3 linked regions of the Ovis aries genome follow. The protein of the gene in region 2 purifies or fractionates together with the protein of the main gene of each other region. This does not show direct contact. Links are inferred from orthologs where the notes say so. Each region holds a gene or a part of one and is shown on either strand. Other genes may lie near its edges.

Evidence for each region. Proteins that work in one complex are often made in the same cells at the same time.
Region 1: the proteins of SMNDC1 (region 2) and SF3A2 purify together in Homo sapiens (affinity purification with mass spectrometry; 4 studies listed by BioGRID and IntAct, with this or other methods). This does not show direct contact. The link is inferred for Ovis aries from reciprocal best matches to the Homo sapiens genes SMNDC1 and SF3A2.
Region 3: the proteins of SMNDC1 (region 2) and SF3A3 purify together in Homo sapiens (affinity purification with mass spectrometry; 3 studies listed by BioGRID and IntAct, with this or other methods). This does not show direct contact. The link is inferred for Ovis aries from reciprocal best matches to the Homo sapiens genes SMNDC1 and SF3A3.

Annotation. Positions count from the first base shown.
Region 1 is NC_056058.1:19,187,991-19,194,557, reverse strand, and holds the end of SF3A2 (splicing factor 3A subunit 2), read right to left. Parts: intron 6,174-6,567; coding exon 6,102-6,173; intron 5,298-6,101; coding exon 5,251-5,297; intron 5,102-5,250; coding exon 4,992-5,101; intron 4,164-4,991; coding exon 4,114-4,163; intron 4,034-4,113; coding exon 3,893-4,033; intron 3,483-3,892; coding exon 3,414-3,482; intron 3,327-3,413; coding exon 2,508-3,326; 3' UTR 2,388-2,507; downstream 1-2,387. Other genes in the region: AMH (muellerian-inhibiting factor precursor), read right to left, coding at 1-40, 148-256, 479-621, 1,264-1,717. UniProt on the Homo sapiens protein: Component of the 17S U2 SnRNP complex of the spliceosome, a large ribonucleoprotein complex that removes introns from transcribed pre-mRNAs.
Region 2 is NC_056075.1:30,416,255-30,423,705, forward strand, and holds the start of SMNDC1 (survival of motor neuron-related-splicing factor 30), read right to left. Parts: upstream 4,794-7,451; 5' UTR 4,585-4,793; intron 3,498-4,584; coding exon 3,378-3,497; intron 632-3,377; exon of another isoform or gene 445-631; coding exon of another isoform or gene 442-444; intron 1-441. UniProt on the Homo sapiens protein: Involved in spliceosome assembly.
Region 3 is NC_056054.1:12,720,840-12,727,801, forward strand, and holds part of SF3A3 (splicing factor 3A subunit 3), read right to left. Parts: intron 6,526-6,962; coding exon 6,457-6,525; intron 6,037-6,456; coding exon 5,969-6,036; intron 5,839-5,968; coding exon 5,731-5,838; intron 4,802-5,730; coding exon 4,732-4,801; intron 2,216-4,731; coding exon 2,051-2,215; intron 1,954-2,050; coding exon 1,843-1,953; intron 731-1,842; coding exon 640-730; intron 1-639. UniProt on the Homo sapiens protein: Component of the 17S U2 SnRNP complex of the spliceosome, a large ribonucleoprotein complex that removes introns from transcribed pre-mRNAs.

The sequences.
Region 1 (6,567 bases), on a different chromosome or scaffold from region 2:
AACAGCAGCGCCTGCAGCTGGGCGGTGCTCAGGGGCTCACCTGAGAGGGAAGGCGCGTGTGCCGTGCGGTTCAGCGGCCGGGGATGGGCTGGGGTCTGCGGGTCGAGGGCAGCCACCCAGTAGGGTCCCTGTCGAGGCAAGGCCTACCATTTCCACGGCGCTGCAGGGTCAGGGCTAGCCCAGGCCGGCGCCAGGCCCCCTCCGGAGGGTCCACGACCAAGGCCAGGAAGTCCGAGTCTGCGGTCAGGCAGAGGCTCTGCAGGCAGACACGGGGAGTTCAGCCAGGTTGGGGGAAGGGCATGGATGCCAACCCTGCTCTGCCTGTTGCCCTTAACATCCCCTCAAGGTCTAGCCTGGACACTTGTGGCCTTTCTGTGAGGCCAAGTTAAAAACAACACAAACACAAACCCATAATCCCTCCCTTGCTCTGTGGGGGGGCCTGGGGGGCCTGAGAGAGCCACATTCCACTCCCTGGTACCTGGGTGCCTGGTAGCCCAGCCCCGGTGACAGTGACCTCCAGGCCAGGCCCTGGGTACAACACCAGCAGCGCCAGCTCTGGGGGGCTGGCTCCTCCAGGTGGAGGCTCCTGGAACCTCAGCAAGGGTGTCGGCTCCCACGTCACTGCGGCCAGGACAAAGGAAGAAGGGAGGCACCTGAGCCACCGAAGCCTGAGCACCTCCCCTAAGCCTGTCCCCTCCATAGGAGACCCCACGCCAACCAAAGCCTGGGGGAACCTGGTGAGAGGTTTGACGCTGGCTCCTGGCTTCTCTGGGACAGGAGTGGCCTAGAAGTGATGGATAGGGTGGGCAGTGGGGCTGCCACCTGTGTTTCCCCAGCCCTTGGGGGCTCTAGGCCTGGAGAGCTCCTGGGGGAGTCCTGGTAGTGGGTCTGAGGACAGCGATCCCTTGGAACAGGAACCTCTTGCTACCCAGTGTGGAGGGAGAGGCACTCCTCTGCTGGACCATCAGGCTGCACTGACCTGCCTCCCTCCTCCATCCCCCACTGTGTAGCTCCCAGGTAGGTGAACAAGGTGTTAGCCCCCACATCCCCCTCTGCCAGGCACTGCATGGGGAGAGGGGTGGCTGGGAGCTGGAGAACTTCTGGCCCCAAACAAGCAAAGATACAGTGACCCACCTCTCTGGCCATTAGCCTCCACTTCCTGAGACTGGGGAGGGGTCTGGGCTGGGGGCTCTGCAGTCCTCTGCTCTTGGGAGGAGGGCACTAGAGCCTGGCCTCCCACCCCAGCCCCGACACAACACATACCTTCCTCCAGGTGCAGGACCACCAGCCACCGACCCCCGGGCTCCCCCAGCCATGCCTGCAGCCGCTGCAGGTGGGGCAGCACAGGCTGCCCGTCACCAGCGGGGCACACAGCGAAGGTGGTCAAGTCACTCAGGCCCCAGTGGGTGCGCCGCACAGCCTCCAGGAAGGCCTGCTCATAGCCGCTCAGGGACCCCACCACCCGCAGGGGGGCCCTGCTCCCGTTGCCACTCCCATGCAGGGTCACCAGGCACAGGGGGTCCTGAGGGCTGCCTGGCAGCCAGAGACTGGGGAGTGGCCAGTCCCAGCCTTGCTGAAAGATGAGTGTCCCGCTGCCTGTGGCCTGCTCCCTGGGCGAGGCTGAGGTATTGGAGACCTCTTCCCTGGGGGTCCCTGGCCTCAGCAGAGCCCCCATGGCCGACAGCACCAGGGCCAGAGAGAGAGATGGACCGGGCATCCTGGGAGCTTCCAGGGGCTGCGCTGCCCTACTTTATAAGGGGAGCAGGGCTGTTTGTGGTACAGGGCAGTCCCTATCTCCTCCTGGGACATGACCTTGGAGACTGGTGCCTGCTGCGAGCCTGGGAGGCCTGTGGCCTTCTCAAAGCCCCCTCTGTTCCAACCTGCCTGTCTATCTCCTGAGCAGTGATACAGTGTGTGTGGCCTGTGACCCATTTGTCAGACTGTCCTTGACAAATCTTTCCCCTCCCCAGAGCAGGAATGTGAGCAGGAGTGCATGCCCCAGACAGTCAGACTATCAACAACCTGGGGGTGTTGGAGGGCAAGGTGTGGAGCCCCTGCCCCAGGAGGATTCAGGTGCCAGCCCCAAGGGGGATGACGCTTCACATCGGGTAGGCAGGTCTGTCCCCCAGTGACCCCACGTGCTCGCTCACCCTACCTCTGAGGCCCACAGAGACCCCCAAGGAGAGTGAGCAGCCTTCTTCGCTCTGCTGTCTTCCCAGAGAACCACCCCACATTCTGCTGGCCCACAGGGTCTGTCCTTGCAGAGACAGCAGGGGCCACCCCCTGTGGTCCAGGTGGGACCCTGACACCCCCTATGGTGGTGGAAAGCAGTCACGTGTGTTCACCCACAGCAAGCTGACCGCCCACAGGTTAACACAGCAGTCCAGTTCAGGGTCAGCAGACTCTTTAATGAGCTCTGAGGACACCCAGCCCAGTACAAAAGAACTCTACTCTGAGGGCGAAACCCAGGAAAACCAAACCAGACTTGCTAGGATGGGGGTGGCTTTTCAGTTGGTGGGGGGAGGGGGAGGAATGTTCCCAGGGCCTTCGGAGGGCAGTGGAGGCCTCAGCATCGGGGGCATGGGCGTTGGGGGGTGCACCCCAGGATTTGAGGGGTGCACCCCAGGTGGCTGAGGATGGACCCCAGGAGCCGGAGGATGGACCCCAGGAGGAGGGGGGTGGACCCCAGGAGGCTGGGGGTGGATCCCAGGGGCTGGTGGGTGGACCCCAGGAGCTGGTGGGTGGACCCCTGGAGCCTGGGGGTGAACGGCAGGAGTCGGGTGCACCCCCGGAGCCTGGGGGTGAACTGCAGGAGCTGGTGGGTGCACCACTGGTGCCTGGGGGTGAACACCAGCAGATGGGGGAGGATGGACCCCTGGGGCTGGAGGGTGGACTCCCGGAGCAGGAGGGTGGACTCCTGGGGCTGGAGGGTGGACCCCTGGAGCAGGGGGGTGGACCCCAGATGCTGGTGGGTGAACCACTGGTGCCGGGGGGTGGACCCCAGGAGCTGGGGGATGGACCCCAGGAGCAGGGGGATGCACCCCAGAGGCTGGTGGGTGGACCACCGGTGCTGGTGGGTGGACCCCAGGAGCCGGTGGGGGCAGCTGAGGAGGGCCTGGGGGCCCTGAGGGTGCAGGCCCACTGGGCGGCATCGGTGGCAGGGGCAGGCCTCCTGGTGGGGGCGGAGGCAGCGACTCTGGTAGTGGCGGGCGAGGGGGCAGGCCGTTCATCAGTGGGGGTGGGGGCCGTTTCACCCCAGGAGGCCCAGCAGGAAGGCTCGGTGGGGCTGGTGGCTTCTCCATCTTGAAGTGGAACTGGAGGAAAAACTGGACAGACAGGAAAAACTGAGTAGGGTCCCAGAGGCCTTGGGGTGGGAGAAGGATGGGGAACTGCATGGACATGGACTGACTCACTTGCTTGGTTTCCCGGTTCCAGTGAGTCCAGAACTTGCCTTCAGCCTTGTCTATTTCCCTGCTTGGCACCTGTGCGGGGTAGAGGGGCAGACAGGCCCTCAGGACCATGAAATGGCCTGGCCCAGGAGGCCCTTCTATGAGGGAACAGGGTCTGACGTGGGGGTGACAGCTGGCATTCTTGCTCCACTGCTTAGCAGCCCTGCCACCCAGGGAAGCTGCAACCTACCCTGTCTCGTTAACATGTATCTGAGAATTGGACCAGGTCAGAGTCCTGCACAGCCTGGTAACAGGGCCACCTCACTGCTAGGGCCATGCCAGGGTCTGATTCACGGTGGACACCCAGCCCCTGCCCTCACTCTGCATCGTCTTCTGACAACCCTCAGGAGGCAAGGGCCCAGAGGGGGCGCCTGGTGTGGGCTGGGGCCAGCTGCTTGGATGGAGCAGACCCTGCAGGACCCTCCGGGGTCCCAGCAAACTACCTTGAAGGCGATGGTCTCATAGGGCTCAGCGGCCATGAGTAGGTACTGCCAGCGCCGGTCCGGGGGCTCGATCCTCTGCTCGTAGGCAGACATGAAGCGGTGTCGGGGCATGATGCCCTCGGCAATCTCAGGGTAGTCGATCTGCAGGGACACGGCCAGTGACAGCACTGCCTCTCAGGGGCCCCTCCCCTCAGGACAAAGGGTTCCCGGCCTTTGCTCACCTGGAAAAGGAGGCTCTGCTGGCCCATCTCTGTATCTCTCTGCTTGGTTACTGCAACACAGGAGGATGTCAGGTCCAGTAACGGGGTCCTAGGACTGGCCTAATGTCACCCACGAATGGGAGAGCTGGCTTGGCAAGTGGGGGGAGGTCACCCTGCTGGGCAACTAGCAGTCATTGGCCCAAGGGTGGGAGGGCTGTGCCCCAGGTGCCACCTGCCTGATATCACTTGGGTGGGGGCAGAGGGTGGGCTCCCCACTGCCCACCCTCCTCCACCAGACCTTCTGGGAGCGGGTGCCCATCACAGTCTAGCTCTGTGGCTTTGGGCTGCTCTCCACACAGCTCCGGGGCCCTTCATATGCGCCCTCAGGCACTTAGTGTCTCCCTGACACAGCCAGGAAGAGGCCAGATGACCCAGACTGACCAAAAGGCCTGTGGTGGCCTCCCTGGGGGTAGTGCCATCCTCGCCCTGGCTCACCAAGCTGGACCACTCCAGGGCCTTCCCAAGCCATGTCTTGTCTGAAACGCCAGTCATACACAGGGTGTGCCCACTTCAGCAAGAACACCTGCAAGGAGGCCTGCCTTCCCCTCCTCCCTGGCAACCCGATCCTCTGCAGCTGCTGGCCCAGGTAAGCCTCCTCTTTCCTTTACTCTCTCTCCATGTGAAAAGGCACCAGCACCCAGTTCTAAGGTCAGAGGAAAGGACTACACCAGGGCCTGCAGTCCCCTCCCACCCTCGCACCCACCTCTGCTAGGAGTATAAAGAGCAGAGGAGACACTAAGGCCCCCGCCCTCAGGGCAGGAAGCCTCTAATGGAAGCTGAGGCCACTGGTGAAGCTGGAGGTGGGTGAGGGACTGCCCACCCAGGGCATCGACAATTACCTTTGTAGCCTGGGCGGCCGATCTTCACAAACTTCTTCACTTCTACCTTGACCTTCTCCGGTGCTGGCTGGGCGGGGGCCTCCTTGGCCTCCTTGGCTGCTCGCCGGGCCCTGCAGGTGGGACGGACACAGTGTTGAGGCCCCTCCTCACAGGCCATCAAGGCCACAGCCCCAGGCGCCAGGAGCGCCCATCCCCGGCCGACCTTGGAGATGTGAGGTGAGGGGGACAGCAGGCATGGGAAGGGGTGCCAGGTACTTACAAGTTGGTCTGATGTTTCTTCCCCTGGGTGTGCGCGAGGTAACTCCCCTGGAACATGAGAGGAACATGCAATTGAGGGCACAGTGAGGGAGTGGTGCCCGGTGTCCCACCCGGGCCCGCCTCCATCCACAGGGCTCAGTGCTGACGGGCACCCGGTGGCTACTGAACACATGAGCTCTCGTGGATCTGCACACAGGGGGACGAGATGCTCAAAAGCCAGAGATGAGAGTCTCGGGTCGGGGGGACACAGCAGTCTTGTGGCTGCCAGGATGTGGGTGGGGCCAGTGGATATTGCTGGGCAGTGGTGGGGACACCTGGAATAAACATGCCCTTTGATTCCACCTCAATAATGTCCCAAGAAGAAAACATGTGTATCAGCAGTTTCCAACTGGAGGCTTTTCTGACCTCCAGGGACTCTATGTCCAGGATGGTCCCCCAAAGAGAAGGGGGAGCCTCAAAACCGCTGGGAGATGCTCCCATACGAGACTATTCAGCTCAGTGCAGCTGTCTGGAGCTGCGAACCATCTGGACAGAAAGTGCGCCCTCCTTACACAGGAAAGGACAGAGAGGACCTGCTTATGGCGAAGGACAGGAACCCAATGCAAGCAAGCATCCGACTGACACTTGCTTAAAGACTCAAACTAGAAGCCATGCCTTCCAGACCTCTCGCCCCACGTGGACATCCTGGACATCCCCACATGTACAGATGCACATCTGTGATGTCGGAGCCACTGATGTTACAGGAAACTGACAGATGGAGGTAGGGACCCCACGGTGGCTGTCCCAGTGCCGTGCAGGGCGGAGATGGCACAGCGGGGCTCTAAAGCCAGTACCTCCCTGGGAAAAACGCACCTCATTGTTATGTAGCGTCAGGCACAGCTTGCACTCATAGGAGCCCAGATGGTTCTTCATGAAGTAGGGGTCCTGCAGAAGAAACACATGTGTCAGGCAGTGGGGGAGACGCTCAGGGATGGAGGACAAGCTGGAGCCCCAAGCCAGCACCACCGCCCCTGGGATCCCACAGGGTCCACTGCACGGGGTTAGGGCTGGGGCTGACCGCCCGCCTCTGCAGCAAGCCCCGGAGAGGGCTCCCTTGAAAGCCCCCAGCCCCACATTAGTGGTGGCCTGGGATCTAGGAAGAGGCAGAGCCGAAGGTGCACTGCTGATCCTCCAACTCCCCAGCCGGGACAGGGCTCCTCGTGCTGCAGTACAAGCTGGGCGCGGGCAGAGGAGAGAAGCAGGCAGGCCAACCCCAGGCCTGGGGAGACCATGGTCTGGAGGGCGCTGAGCTGCTGCTTTAGGGTGGGCAGGTGGGCGC
Region 2 (7,451 bases):
TTAATTAACCACTTTTAGCACTAGGAATGTAATCCAGTAAGTCTGACTCAAAAGCCTATGCAATTCCTAGCATTAAATCCATTTAACTAGGGATCATTGGACTACTAATATACAAACATGAAGTCTGTGTTTTTAGATCTCAATATTTAGAGATCTCTTAGAATAAAACATCTTTCCACTATGTTTTCATAAGAAAATAAATTTTCACCAAAGAGAAGGGTCCTGAAAAGCTGTGCAGTTATAATCTCCAAGGCCCTGCACTGAAAAGACACAAAAAAATCCAGAGCATTTATTTCTGTCTTTTCACTTTGCCATGTTGTACATTCCCCCCCAACAATTATGAAGACCCTTCTAAATGTCTTTTTTTTATTCACATGTGCATATGGACCAAAGTATTATAAATATGATTTCATGTATGAGGGAGTTCTTAAAGGTACATACCATTAATTACTTTTCCTCCCCCAAGTCTGAGTTCTGAAACTGCTCCTTCATTGACAGATGGGCAGCAGTTACAGTTATCGGCAATTCCAGGAAGCATCAGATGTTGTGATCTACATATCAGCAGGTCAAAGGGGGTGCACTCAAGCACTCTGCTTACTGAAGGAAGGCGTTTCGGGGATGCAGAGAGCCACTGTAATATATGAGACAAGTGACTTGACCCCTGCCTCCTTTAGAACCAGTTTATTCAGCAAAACAGCCTAATAAATTGATTATTTTTGTGATTATCATAGACTGCCTGGGGAGCTAGTCAACTAGCTAGCCTGGATTTTACTAAACTCACTTCTTTAAAGTGAAAAAAGAAAACAAATTAGGATTTCAGAAGACTGATTTGCTGCCTATTGAGTAACTTTATATGAAAGATAGTGTGTTAAGAGATAAACATAGACGTCTTACTGGCAAAATGAAAGTCACTGGAAAAAATGCAGAAAAAGGATTCTGCATAAATGAAACTGCAAACAAATTATTAACCAGAGTAAGGATATTCCATAAAAGCAACACAAAAAAATAAAGGAGACTACAAACTCGGTCATCAGTCTGTGAAGACTTTTCAGCAAATATAAAAGATAGAATTAAATACCAATGGCCCAAGGCATATCCCAGAAAGCAAGGAAGGAAAAGGATTTTTTAAAAAACAAAAACCTATGACAAAATAGAAACTGTAGCTATAGTCAATGGAGATAACAATTACTAGATGGAAGCAGATAGCAAAATATTTTTCAGAATTTTCTCTAATATTAAACGATGTTTTCCATCTTTGAGTAGTTTTCAGTTCAAAAACAAACCTGTATCTAGTAACCAAAATGACTGCTTTTTTTCCATGAAAGGAAAAGAATTTGAGGTCAAGATTGGTCGGGAAAAACATTCTCTGTTATTGCTAACTGAAGTGTTAGAACGTGCACTTCTAAATCTGTGCCATCTGATATGGTAGCCACATATGGTTACCTAAAATTAAAAATTCAGTTTTTCAGCCATCCTAGTCTTATTCCAAGTATTTGACAGCCCCATGTACCTAGCAGCTATAATATTAAATAGCAGATATAGAGTACTTCCATCACCACAGAAAGTTCTATTGGACAATGTCTTTCAAAATGGTTATTTAAAAAAGAATATTTTACAGAATGACCTCCAGGTCATTATTAACTGAACCCTAAGTAAGCCATTTACCTGGTTACTACAATGCCTACAGCAATGGTCTCCCTCCCTACAGTACTTCCACTATAGATCATGTCCTAACACAATTCTGCCCAGACTCTGAAATATATTCCAGAAATACTAAAATACCAAGACTCATAATAATGCTGTCTTCACTCCCAACTCCCTGCTCCACCAGTTCCACATATACCCCTCCTTCTTACTGCCAATTAAATATAGGAAGCAATGTATACAACATTGACACAATGTTTCACTTTCTTCAAAGGAAAAAAGGACTGCTTTTAAGTTGGTTTTTAATGAGAGAGAGAGAGAGAGAGAGAGAGAGAGAGAGAGAGAGAGAGATGGGGGTAGGTCAGGCTCTCTAAGACAAGCAGAAAGTTGGCCTGAGATGGGAGAAACTGCTCCCAAAACATCTTTTTCTTACTGACTAGCTCCCTGAAATCCACTGACCTGACTGCTACATACTGAAGAGAGGCTTTGGTTTCTGTTTTTTTGTTTGTTTTTAAATAACATACTATTGCAACTTCACGCACATCTATCCTAAATCCAGAAATTGAACCTAAAAATATTCAACTCATTTAAATTATGCCCAGGTAGGCTTTTAGAATTGTGAATCTGGACCCCATTTCAAATAAGTTTTGCTTGTTTGCAGTTCTACTATCCCTAAAATATTGATCATTTTAATTGGCAAGAGGCTGATATAAACAGAGAGAAATGATATGTAGTATGAAGATGATTCGAGTTGTTTTGAATCAGTGAAGATAAGTCATCTAATCAAAACATCTTTTAAAACTCTCCAAAAAATCAGATTCAGAATTAGATGAAAAGCCATAGATATTTACAAATATTATATATGGTGTTTTTATTAATCAACCTAGGGTTGTGAGAAATAATAGATATTTACTTCTATGGCTTTATGTTTGTCTTGAAACCCCAGAGGAAGTTTTAAAAAGCCGGTTTCATACTTACTGCTCTTCCAGGACAAAAGGAACACATTAAATCCAGGTCGTCTTTTTACATAGATTCGGTTTAATTTCAAGTTGCTAATAAGTGTCAATAATTACATATAAGACCTAGCCTTAAGTTCAAACATTATGTAACATTTATGCAGAAAACAAACATCTCTTTAGGCATTTTTATAATGTGTTTTCAACACAGGCACTAGAGCTAGCTTTGTTACACTTACACACACACACAGGATCTCTGGCATGGGTGCTCTATTTCATTTTCAAAGAAATCTTGTGGCACTGAAAAGAATCTGATATAATCTGATTAAGCTATATTTTCCTCTTTTAATTTTAGTTACCCTTTGAAGTAAAATTACTTTTCCAAGTCTTTACAAACAGAAACATTATCCACTGTCAAGTTATATGTACCTCTTTTTCTAGAGTGATAGTGACTTATTAGCTCTTACTTTTATTTTTTTTAATTTTTTTATTTTTTTAGCTCTTACTTTTAAAAATTATAAGAGCATATAAGGATGACACAACAAAGAACAATGTTTCAGCTGTTTTGATGTACACAAACTGAGGAAGCAACCCTTCTCTTAGAAGCCAAGTATGCCTCTGTGGGTGCACACATGTACACACAAGGGGTGTGAAGGGGAGAAACACTCCCTCCAAAGGTATTATGGGTACCCATAGATTCTAGGCAATAAGCCACTTATAAGCCACAGAAATACTCTTTTCAAGCAATGAAGCTATTATGTATTGCCCCATACTTACTTGTAAATCTTTCTTTAATTTTAGTAAATCTTCATTTTCTCCATTTCCAGACAGCGCAGCCTCAACTTGCTGGAGTTGAGCTTTGTAGCTTGCCAGCTGCTTTGCTAGATCCTCTGACATCTGGTGAAAATAAAGAATAAAGTCATGAAAACAGAACCAAAAAAACAAAACATAAGAGAAACATTTTTTTCCTGTCGGCCTGAATTAACCCTTACCCATTTTGTTCCCAACTCATCATAATTCACTGCAGCATAATTTATTACTACTAGTATTCTGAAGATTATAAACATGTAAGATACATTCCATATAGAAACAGAAAACGAGATAAGAGGAAAAGGGAGAATAATTTCTAATTTTCTTTAAACTATTAACAGGGAAGAGACATTGTGTTAGGCTCAAGGAACAGGACTGTTATATCACATCACCAAAAATTAAAATAGAAGGCACTAAACTGTTGAAAGATTTGAGGCTTCCAATTTTTAAGGGCTAAAAAGTACTTCGAAAGCCAAATATAAATGGCTTTTGGATTAACTACGACTTTCTCCACAAGAGTTATAATGCGTGTGTTCAGAAACTTCTCCACACTGCAAAAATCTTTTCACGCAGTCACTTAAAATACTGCCAATGTATTTTTCTGCAGTAAAAGAAACATCACAGATGCTCTCCAATTTAGGCAATCTAAACTACGGGCCTTTCACTAAATCCAGCTCGTACTTCTCCTGAAAATAAGGCCGGAGAGAATTCTTTCTCGCTTTATTAGCAAACGTACAGGGTTTCCGAGACCGGTCTGTGTAACAAATCCCGGCCAACCGCAGCCCAGAACCTGGAAGTACTTCAAAAGGGTTGGTGCAAGCCAGGCTGCTTCCCTTCAGTCACCCTACACCTCAAAGCCCGCCACAACTAGCTCGACCATCTCAGACCTCGAAATTCCAACAACTTCCAAGGAAACCGAAAACAAGAACGGAGCCGAGGCCCCAGGAACCGGAGCCCCACCCGCAAACAGGCTCCGCACAGAAGGGCCGAGGGCGTCCTTAAGATGCCTCCCGCGCCCAGCCCAACCCCGTTCAGGGACGCTTGGGCTCAACTCTGCGTGGAAGAGGAGGCCGGCGCCCGCGCGTCTCCACTGCGGCCTCGGCCTCTGGCCTCCGGTTCAACTCGTGAGAGGTCGAGGCCCAGCGAGGCCTCACTGTCTCCCTCATCGCGTTACCTTGTGTGGGGTTGGGAGAGTGGCGGCGGGAAGGGGTAGGGGGCAAATGAGCCCAGCGGTGGCAGCAACAGCAACAGCAGCAGCAACAAAACAGTCCGCGTCGACAACTAGTTAACCCGGGCTAGAAATTCGGGTCTCAGCCGGGAGTGAACTGGGGAGAACCAAAGCCGGGGACTGGAAAGAGGTATAGAAGAGGCGGGTGAAGTCTCGCGAGAGGTTAAAACTCCTCGCGAGATGTCTCTCGATTCACGTGATTCCTAGTGCCCTCTAAGCCGCCGGTCCTTAATCACGTCAGGGACGTGAAGTGGACCGCGCCGGGGTCGGGGACGGGGAGCGGGGAGGACGAGGTGGGAGGGGGGAAAGGGCGGATAGGTAGGAAATGACGTACTGGGATGCGCCAGGCGCCGGATGTAGGTTCGTCTTCTGTTAGTTCCGGCTCGGACTGGGGAGTCCGTTTGTTATTTTAGGTCTGGGCTCAGTCCGGCGGATCCTGAGGTTCTCAGGGTGCTGGGTGGCAGGTTTAATACAGAATTCTTCCTAGAGGCTGGTTCTCAGAATTTGGTCCCAGCACCATCAGCATTGCCTGGTGTTTATTTTTTACAGTAATTTATAATTTATTGCAAAAATAATACACTATAAATACATACTTTCAACACCCACCGCAGACCTTTGAATCAGAAACATTGAAGATGGGCGCAGCAGCCTATTTCAGTAAGCCTTGTAGGGGATACCAATGTCCGCTCGAGTGTGAGAACCACTGCTTCATATTAATAGAATAGTAAAAGTCCTAATGGCATCAGAAAGCTGATTAGATTGTGGCAGAACCTATTGGACAGTAGATTAGATTATTTAAAACCTATTTTGACTTTTCGAGGGCGGTTACCCAGGCTGTGGACCGCCCCAGGAGCAGGAGCTGTGTATCCTCCCCTTTTCCGTTTACCGTTGTAAACAAAGGCCTTTCCTACCATTAAAAAATATATATATATACCTTTTATAAGCACTTCCTGGTTTTAATTAGGTTATATAATGCCACCCGCAAGGGAACAGTCTCCAAGTTATAATCTTGAATATAAGCAGATTGTGTAAGCACTTAATGTTTAAAAAGAGATGTGTTTTAAGTGTAATAATATATACTATTTAGGGACGGATATACAAATCTATCTAGAGATTTGCAGTGGAACCCAAATGTTTTCACTGATTATCCTTCCTACTTTTAATCTTTCCCCCATACGCATGTAGTTTTCTCCAATTTAAAAAAAAAAAAAAAACTACAACAACTAAAAAGACCTGAGACACGAAGAGGCTCTATGAATGCCAGGAAAGAAAATTCCCTGTTTTGTTTTGTACAAACGCACACATCCCTCATTGAGTCAGAGAACCTGTAGAGATGAAACTAGGTCAGGTTTGTGGCAGTCAACTTGTAAGAACTGAAACTGCTGCAGAGGGCAGCCACCTGTAGCTGGAATGAAGAGGGAAGACAAACCAGAGGGGATGCCCTTTATTAAAAATATGTTAAAAACACGATGTAGTTTTTGACAGTTGCTCTTATTTTAATTGTATATTTTAAGAACTAACGCCAGGAGGATCTTCCTTGAAAATAAATTTTACAGCTGTGTAAGTTTGCCACATAAGAACTCTTCATGAACCCCTAGATCAGAGAATAGGAAAATATGTATAAGCTCCAGTAAAGTTTTTTGATAACTTTTTGTTTTTAGGATTGCCTTTAATCTCTCCTTCTGTGCAACATAGAATATATTTGGAAAGAAAAGTTATATTGAATGTTATTAGTTCTCACAAAGAGAGAACAGTTGTGTGTGCCAGGCAGCATTATAAACTACATGTATTCATTTATTTTTCACTATGATTTGGTGTATTTTTAAAGACAAAACTGAAGCAAGTATAAGCTTTGACTAAGCCTGCTACTTCAAATAGGTGTTCTGACTTACCACCTCCTTTGAAGTGTCAAAATCCTCTTTCAGTGTCGGATTTTTCTTAAAACATTCTGACTCAAAATTTAATCATGTTTATTTTTCAAAAACAACAGTATCAAAAACCTTTAGTTCTTTAAACCTGGTATTTATTTTATTGAACTCAGTAAATAAAGTTTAAAGATGCCACAGCTATTTCCTTTCACTCCTAAAGAAAATTAAAGCATAGCCATGCCTTTGGAATGCACTAACTCTTTGCAGAGCGTAAACCTATGCGCTAAATTCATATATTTATACATGTTGGTTAAATGGGAGGTTGCATTCTTTAGCTTAGCTTTTGTTATATCCCTTCACTGAAGTAGCCCCAAATTTTCCTACATTTTTGCTGTCTATACAGATGCCTAATGTGATGAGAGATGTGCACATAGTAATAATAACTATACCCTTTGCCCTTTTTAATCATAAGATGTGTTTTGAATGTTTACATGGGGATTTGTCTCAGGGCAAGCTACTGGCTTTTTCTGCCTATTGAGTAGTTTTGGGGGTACAATGCATTCAGAACATATTCAGAATATGTTCTGAGGGTAAAAAGAAGAGAACCAAAAAAAGTCTCAAACATCACAGATTTATTGCTAATAGTAGTATTGGTAAGGTAAGATAATTTTAAAACTTTTATGTCTACTCTAGATAAAGTGAATAATTAGTAATTTTGTTAGTTAAAACTCTAATAAGAGGGAACAAATATTAAAGAAAATTCTTTTGTGAAAAGTCCTCTGGTGTTAAATTTGAAATTTGAATATATATATATTTATATATCTTAGAGGTAATGTTATCCTAGTGGAGTGTGCCCATATGTTGATATCTAAATACCATTCCCCATGAAAGAAACAGTGTTTCTTGGAGAAATGATGGAGTTAGGGTCTCAGGCCAGAAAAGTAC
Region 3 (6,962 bases), on a different chromosome or scaffold from region 2:
GTTAGCTGACCAGGCAGCAGAGTAGTGTGATATGCTAAGAGGCAGTGCCTGAAACTTAGCAAAGTGGAGTGGTAAAATTCTTTTCCTAACAGTCTAACCTACTGACAGTGAAAACATGACAAAAAAAGAAAAAGAAGGAAAACTGTGAGGAAGATGGAAAAATCTACCATGGCCAGGTGGCCAGGAAGCCTGAGGTTCCTGGGAGCTTCAACACCACATTCCTGGACACACGCTGAGCTTGGCTTTTTCTCTGAGAGGTATTTTGCTGCCGTGTTGCTGTGTATCTGCCCTGTCACCTCAGAAATAAGCTTACCAAGATCACTTTTATTTCTTCCTTTGTATCTGCAGTTCTTAACACAGTAAAATCAATTCAGAAAATACACATACACTCATTCACTCAAAATCTTGCATACCCAGTTCACAGAACCCAGTTAAAAGCAGTTTTATACTCAGCACAGAGCTCTTCTCAAGGGGGAAAGAATCAGTACTCCTGGCTAATCCATCCCCTGAGAAAGCAATAACTATAGGACTGTAGTAGTCTGTATGTACCACAACCTGCTGCCCTTAGGCCTGGACACACGACAATACTGGGACAGTGAACTGTCGCCCTGGCCTCGGGAAAAATAAATAATTACTTACAGGAGACCGCGTCTTCAATCTGTGTCACATTAGCAAAGTGGGCAGTATTTGGGATGCCCAGACACCTCATGCCATGAGCATGGCGCCATTCCTGGGAGGAGAGAAGCAAGAGGACAGCATGAAATAGGACTGACTGGACACACAGCACTAACCCCATCCTACTCAAAAACCTTCCCTAATCCTTTGCAAAAGGCTCCACCGAAAGGCAGTATTCAACTTTTGAGGTTCCTGTCTGTAGACAACTGGCTATGACTGACAAGAGGCAGTTACTTCAAAGCAGCACCGTATGTCTGCCTCACTGGGCAGGTTTATGAAACCTAGATCCAGACAAAATCTGTGTCAAGACCACAACTCTAACTCATCACTTCCCTCCTATGCAACCCCCCCACCAGCATGTGTAAGCATTACTGATGGCAAGTCAGTGTCATCTTTAGAAGTAAAGGAGAAGACTGTTCATCAGGTACAAGCAAGGATATGAAAGAGACCAAGGAGGGGGCTGATGCAATGACAGTATGGCTCAGGGATGGCAGATGGCATGGGCCCTGGATGCCAATTCCAATTCACTGGAGGTGGTACTGAGAAAGACTTAGAGACTACTGGAGTTCGGCAGAAAAGGCCCCAGAATCAGTAATATGCACATCTGAGGAAGACAAAGAGGAATTCACACACATTCTCCATTCTTGGCTACATCTAGCATGTCTTCTATTCTGTAAAATTTCCCTCCAAGTACTGAGAACTGAAGGTAGAAACAAAACAAGGCTGAATTCACTTACTGGAGTACCACCCACATAATGCCTTCTCTCAAGAATAGCTTGATAAATGTCATCCTCTTTTTTTTTTTTTTTCCCAAGAGGCAAAGGCCCATTTAAGACCCAAAGAAGGAGGCGGTCAGCCCTTTCTTTGGTATTGAGTACCAGCAACAGGAGAGAGAAAAATGACCAACGAGTTAGAAAGGCAGGAAGGGCAAGCAAGAAAAAACGGAACATGGTTCAAATAGTGGAATGCCTCCAGAAACCGTTTCAGGTGCAACCCAAGGCTGGCACTGCTGCCAGAAGCCAAATGCCACATGCTGGACTTTATGTCCACTCCTCTGATTCGCTCTAGCTCTGGAGGCTAGGGATCCTCTCAGGCTGCTCCTATCCTCTTCTCTAAAAGACTCATGTTTCAAGCTTCCATGTCCAGGAGAAGCGCCAAATTTCTTACAGCAAAGTGCCGCTGGAAGGCCTTAGGACCTCGGTAGGTATAGTTTCCACAAATCTCACAGTTATAGTTGATATTTAGGCCATGAAGCTTGTACAACCAGTAAGGAATGGGCTAAAAGAAATGAGACAAAAGAAAAACAGTATTAGACCAGTGTCTGCATGTGCTGCCAAAATGAGAGAAGGGGGAAAGAGGGCAGCGGAGGACTGACTTTGCCGTCCCAGCCCAGGGGCAGGTTTTTGGGGTTGTAAATGATCTCGTTCTCTTCGTCTTCGCTCTCACTCTCACTGATCTGCTCCTCCTCTTCCTCTTCCCGCTCTTCTCCAGTCCTCGCCTGCTTGCGTTGCACGTTTTCGTGAGTGAGATGTCGCTGCTCCTATGTCAGGGCCATGAATGAAAGGGGAGGTGAGAGAAGAGTGCAGAACAAAAAGGGAAATTTCCTGTTTTCCTATAACCTTTGTTGATCCTTCATTTTTAAGGATCAAGTTTTCTTTCTTGCACAACAAAAGGAAAGTCTTGCTTTCAAACAGAATTCCTCTTCAGCAGACCTTTCCTGATCTTAAAGGAAAAAGTAAAAACAAAACAAAAAAAACGGAAAAAGTTAAACCTAGCACTTGCCTAGTTAGTCATCTGAGGCCACAGACAATCGCAGAACAATAGAAGTCTTTTCTCTTCTGTCCCTAAACCGTTCCCTGAATCAGTCTTCCTTTCTCTTTCCCACTGTTATTGCCCTCACCAAGGTGACAACGTTCCAACTTGCCCCGAGTCTGTCCTCACTCCAGTCTAGCTTCCATGCTGTCCCCAGATTTATCTGCTGGAGAAAACCAATCTCGTGGCACACTTTGCTTAAAAACACTTTAATCTGCTTTCTGCTACTTAAAGGACAAGGTCCAACCTCTCAACATACAATAACTTTCCAAATTTTTCTCTGACTACACCATCCCTCACCAGACATACCCAGGGACAATGGTTTGTTTTCTCATTATTTCCTTTCACAGTAATTTTACCTTCATACTTGCTGTTTCCTCCACCTGGAACATCTTAATCTCCCTCTTTATACTTAGAACACCCAATCTCAAAGTATTACAGTGAACATCACATTATACTGCAGTTATCTGTAGCCCTCAGTCACAAACTGGGCTTTTCAAGGATAAGAGGCTATGTCACATTCACGACTGCATTCAAAGATTTAGCATAATATTTGGACACCAACAGGTGTCAGTAAATGGTGAAGCAATGGTAAAAATAATACCAATTCATAACAAGATCAACTTTTGGAACTCATTTTGGCTGGAACTGGCTGGAATTCCAAGGAGAATAGTGCCACCTCCTGGCGGGGAAAGCAAAATGCTCTCAAAGGTAGGACTTGTGGGCACACCTTATGTCAGGGGCACAGATGAGCCTCGCATTTGTCTTCAAAGGACCGGTGACTCAGTCTGCTGTCCACACTCAGTTCAGTTCAGTCGCTCAGTCGTGTCTGACTCTTTGCGACCCCATGAACTGCAGCACGCCAGGCCTCCCTGTCCCTCACAATCTCCCGGAGTCCACCCAAACCCATGTACATCAAGTCGGTGATGCCATCCAACCATCTCATCCTCTGTTGTCCCCTTCTCCTCCTGTCCCCAATCCCTCCCAGCATCAGGGTTTTTTCAAATGAGTCAGCTCTTCGCATGAGGTGGCCAAAGTACTGGAGTTTCAGCTTCAACATCAGTCCTTCCAATGAACACCTAGGACTGATCTCCTTTAGGATGGACTGGCTGAACCTCCTTGCAGTCCAAGGGCCCACACTAGCACAGTCCTAGTTCAGTGTGGAGAGTATAAGTATCCCACATATCCAATGTCTAGCTAATCCCTTTCATCCAAAGGAGTTGTAACAGTGGGATCCAACAATGACTCTAGTTTTATGAGTTATTATACACGTGGTCATCAAACAAGGGCAAGAGACAAAGACATGTGGACCAGCTATCTGAACCAGAGCCACCTACTCAAAGCACCATGTGAGCATCTGGAAAGGAAAAGGCTCTGAGAGCAGTTGAAAACTGCACAAAGCAGACACTCAGAAAGGCTGGTCCTCTCTGCAGCACTCCCAGAGACAATGACCATCTTCCACCTTCTCTTCCCTGAAAGAGAATCATTTTCTCCTGCTCCTCCCCCAACTTTCTCTAAGATAAGCATCTTGGTTGGGTAGGCCTTTTTGTACCTGTAACCCTCTTCAGCTTCTTCTTGAAAAAATACTCAAGGAGCAGCTCACAGCCAGTTCTGCACCACTAACCTCCAAACCTAGTACCATGTAAGTTGCTCCAACCCTGTGAACATGTAAGTTATGCCTTTTCAGAGAAAGTCATTCATGAAGACCTGCTGCTGTGGGCACACCTATGTCAGGGGCAAAGATTAGCCTCAGTCGTCTTCAGAGGACTGGCAACTCAGACTGCTGCCCACACTCGCACAGTTCTAGTTCCCTGTGGAGAGTATAAGTATCCCACGTATCCAACGTCTGGCTAACCTCCTTTTATCCAAAGCAGGTGTAAAAGAGGGAGCCAACAGATGACTCTAGTCACATCTTACACACCTTTTGAGTGTCTGCTTCCTGGATCACCCCTGGCTCTATTCTGGAGCTCAGGGAAAGAATCTGGATTCTACATGGAGAGGGGAGTCTACTCTCCCACCCAGCCTCAGGGGATTGAGCAAACCTAGGAATGTCACCTAACAACAGACCCCTAACAACAGAGCAGGACCTCAGTGAAGGGCTAAATACCATGGGAGAACACAATTTTCGGCTACAGTAGTTTGATCTATGCATTTTCTCTTGCAATCGTAAAAAATATCCTACAAGTTCATAGCTTCTTACTTCCACAACTTGGAGCATTTACAGCCCTCAGCTGAGTCACTTACCCCAAGAATCTCTACATATTCGTATATCTGGGCTTCAAGGAAAGCAATGTCTTTGTTCCTCTCAGTGTCTCTGGAAATAAGAAACAAACTGTATCACTTAAGGGTTCTTTCACCCAATGCCATGTTCTCTATATCTGGGAATATTTATTCCATAGGAGCATCTAAAATTACAAGCACAAGAGAAACATCACGTTGTGAAAGCAAATGTTCTGTTCAGCTCAGGACTTGTTATCTTTATTTATTTTTAATTAAAAAAATATTTTTGGCCATGCTATGTGGCTTATAGGATCTTAGCTTCCCAAGAATCAAATCCAAGCCCTCTACAGTGGAAGCGAGCAGTCTAAACCACTGGACTGCCAGGCATTTTTCTCGAGATTATTTCTTAGAATGCATAGAAGCTTCCTCTTTGACCTCATTCTAGAGAGTGAAAGGCATGTCCAGGTATTTAAATTCCTATACAAAGGAAATGTGGTACAGAAGGGCAAGCTCTGGAAGAGGCAGACTTGGGCCCAAGTCTTGCTACTTAGTAACTGTGAGATAACAGGTATAACTTTTCTAAGTCCTTATCTGTCAAAGATGAGGATAACAAATACTTTTCAAGCTTGTTTTGAGAATTAGCAAAATCACATATAAAAAAAATACCCTGTACAAGCATGTGGCTCAGGAACAGATTCAACTGTTACTAGCAAAAATGCACTTAGACGAACACTTTTGAACCAACTTACCCTCTATAACCTACAGAGGTAACAAAAGATACCCGGGGTACAGTTTCAACTTTAGAGACGTCACCCACTCTCAGACACCTGAGTACAGACTGTCCTTGGTTTATAGTAACGATGAGAGAACTGTCTGCCATTAGCAGAGAAAAAGAGCAGACTGGAGCCGGATGGATCAATAGCGGTGATAAAATGGGCTTTAAAATTTCCGATGTGGTATGAATTCTGCACGGGAATAAAAAGCTTAAAATGTAAGCAGAGGTGCCCCCTCCCCGCCACTTACCGCTTGGTGCCCTTTGTCTTGGGATTTTTGGCAAACAGGGAGGTGTCGAGTGACTCAAGGGACTTTCCTTTGGTGCTGAATAGCCTCTGGGCTCGCTCTTCTAGGGTCCTAAGGAGACACAGGGGCAAAGGATTTCAGGATTACTTTACCATCTAGGCTTGCTTCTCTTTGCAGTGTGGAGAAGATTGTGAAACTCAAAGTAAACGAGACAGTTCTGATAGAAAAATCAGTCTCTTACCCGCCACACTTCAGGCCTAAAGCTAGGAGTGCAGATTTTAATCTGTCCAGACCCAGGGAGGCCAACTCCTATATGAAAGAAACAAGTTACAATTTTATATAAATAGACTTGGAGAAGCAACAAATGCTCAAACTTAGGTTTGCAGGCTGGTGTGTGGGTGTTCCTAAAACAGTGGCAAGACCACACATTCCATAGCCAGTCTCCTAGCAGGATGCTCCAACTCTCCAAAGGACCGACTCTGTGATTAAGTTCATCCGTAACCATACTGGCTGTGTTCCACTACCTCCACTATAGCTTAAGATGGTTAATTTTCAGTTAACAGTGTTCAAAGAAATTGGATAAGCTTTTTTTTTCATCTTTCTATATTCTTCGTAGATGCTTATCTCAAGGATTTGTGTCTTACCGTAATAAGTCTGTAGCGTTAGGAGATCAAGTGACCCCTCTGAGGCGTGAACAGGCAAGACCAGCACAGGCTAAAGAAAACATACCTCCCAGGAGGAGAATGCAGAGAGGTCAAGATGGGCTCCGGCATGGGTCAGGGCACTGCTTGTCTCTTTCTGGAAAAACAATACGATGTTTATTAAGACCCAGGATTAGAACAAAGGCAAGGGAGTCATCTAAATTACAGGCATACCTTGGAGATATTGCAGGTTCAGTTCCAGACCACTGCAGTAAAACAATTATCGCAATGAAACAAGTCCCACAATTCTTCCTGGTTTCCCAGTGCATACAAAAGTTATGTTTACACTATACTGTAGTCTATTAAGTGCACAATCCCATTATGTCTAAAAAGACAACACACATGTCTTAGTTAAAAAACTTTATTGCGAAAAAATGCTAACCACCATCTGAGTCTTGGTAGTAATAAAAATCAAAGACCACCGTAACAAAATAAAAACTGGCAATAGTAGACTTGCCTGATGCAGGGAGTTGCTGCATTTGTTAAAAAAAAAACAACACAAAACTGCACCATCTGAGAAGTGCAAGAAAGCAA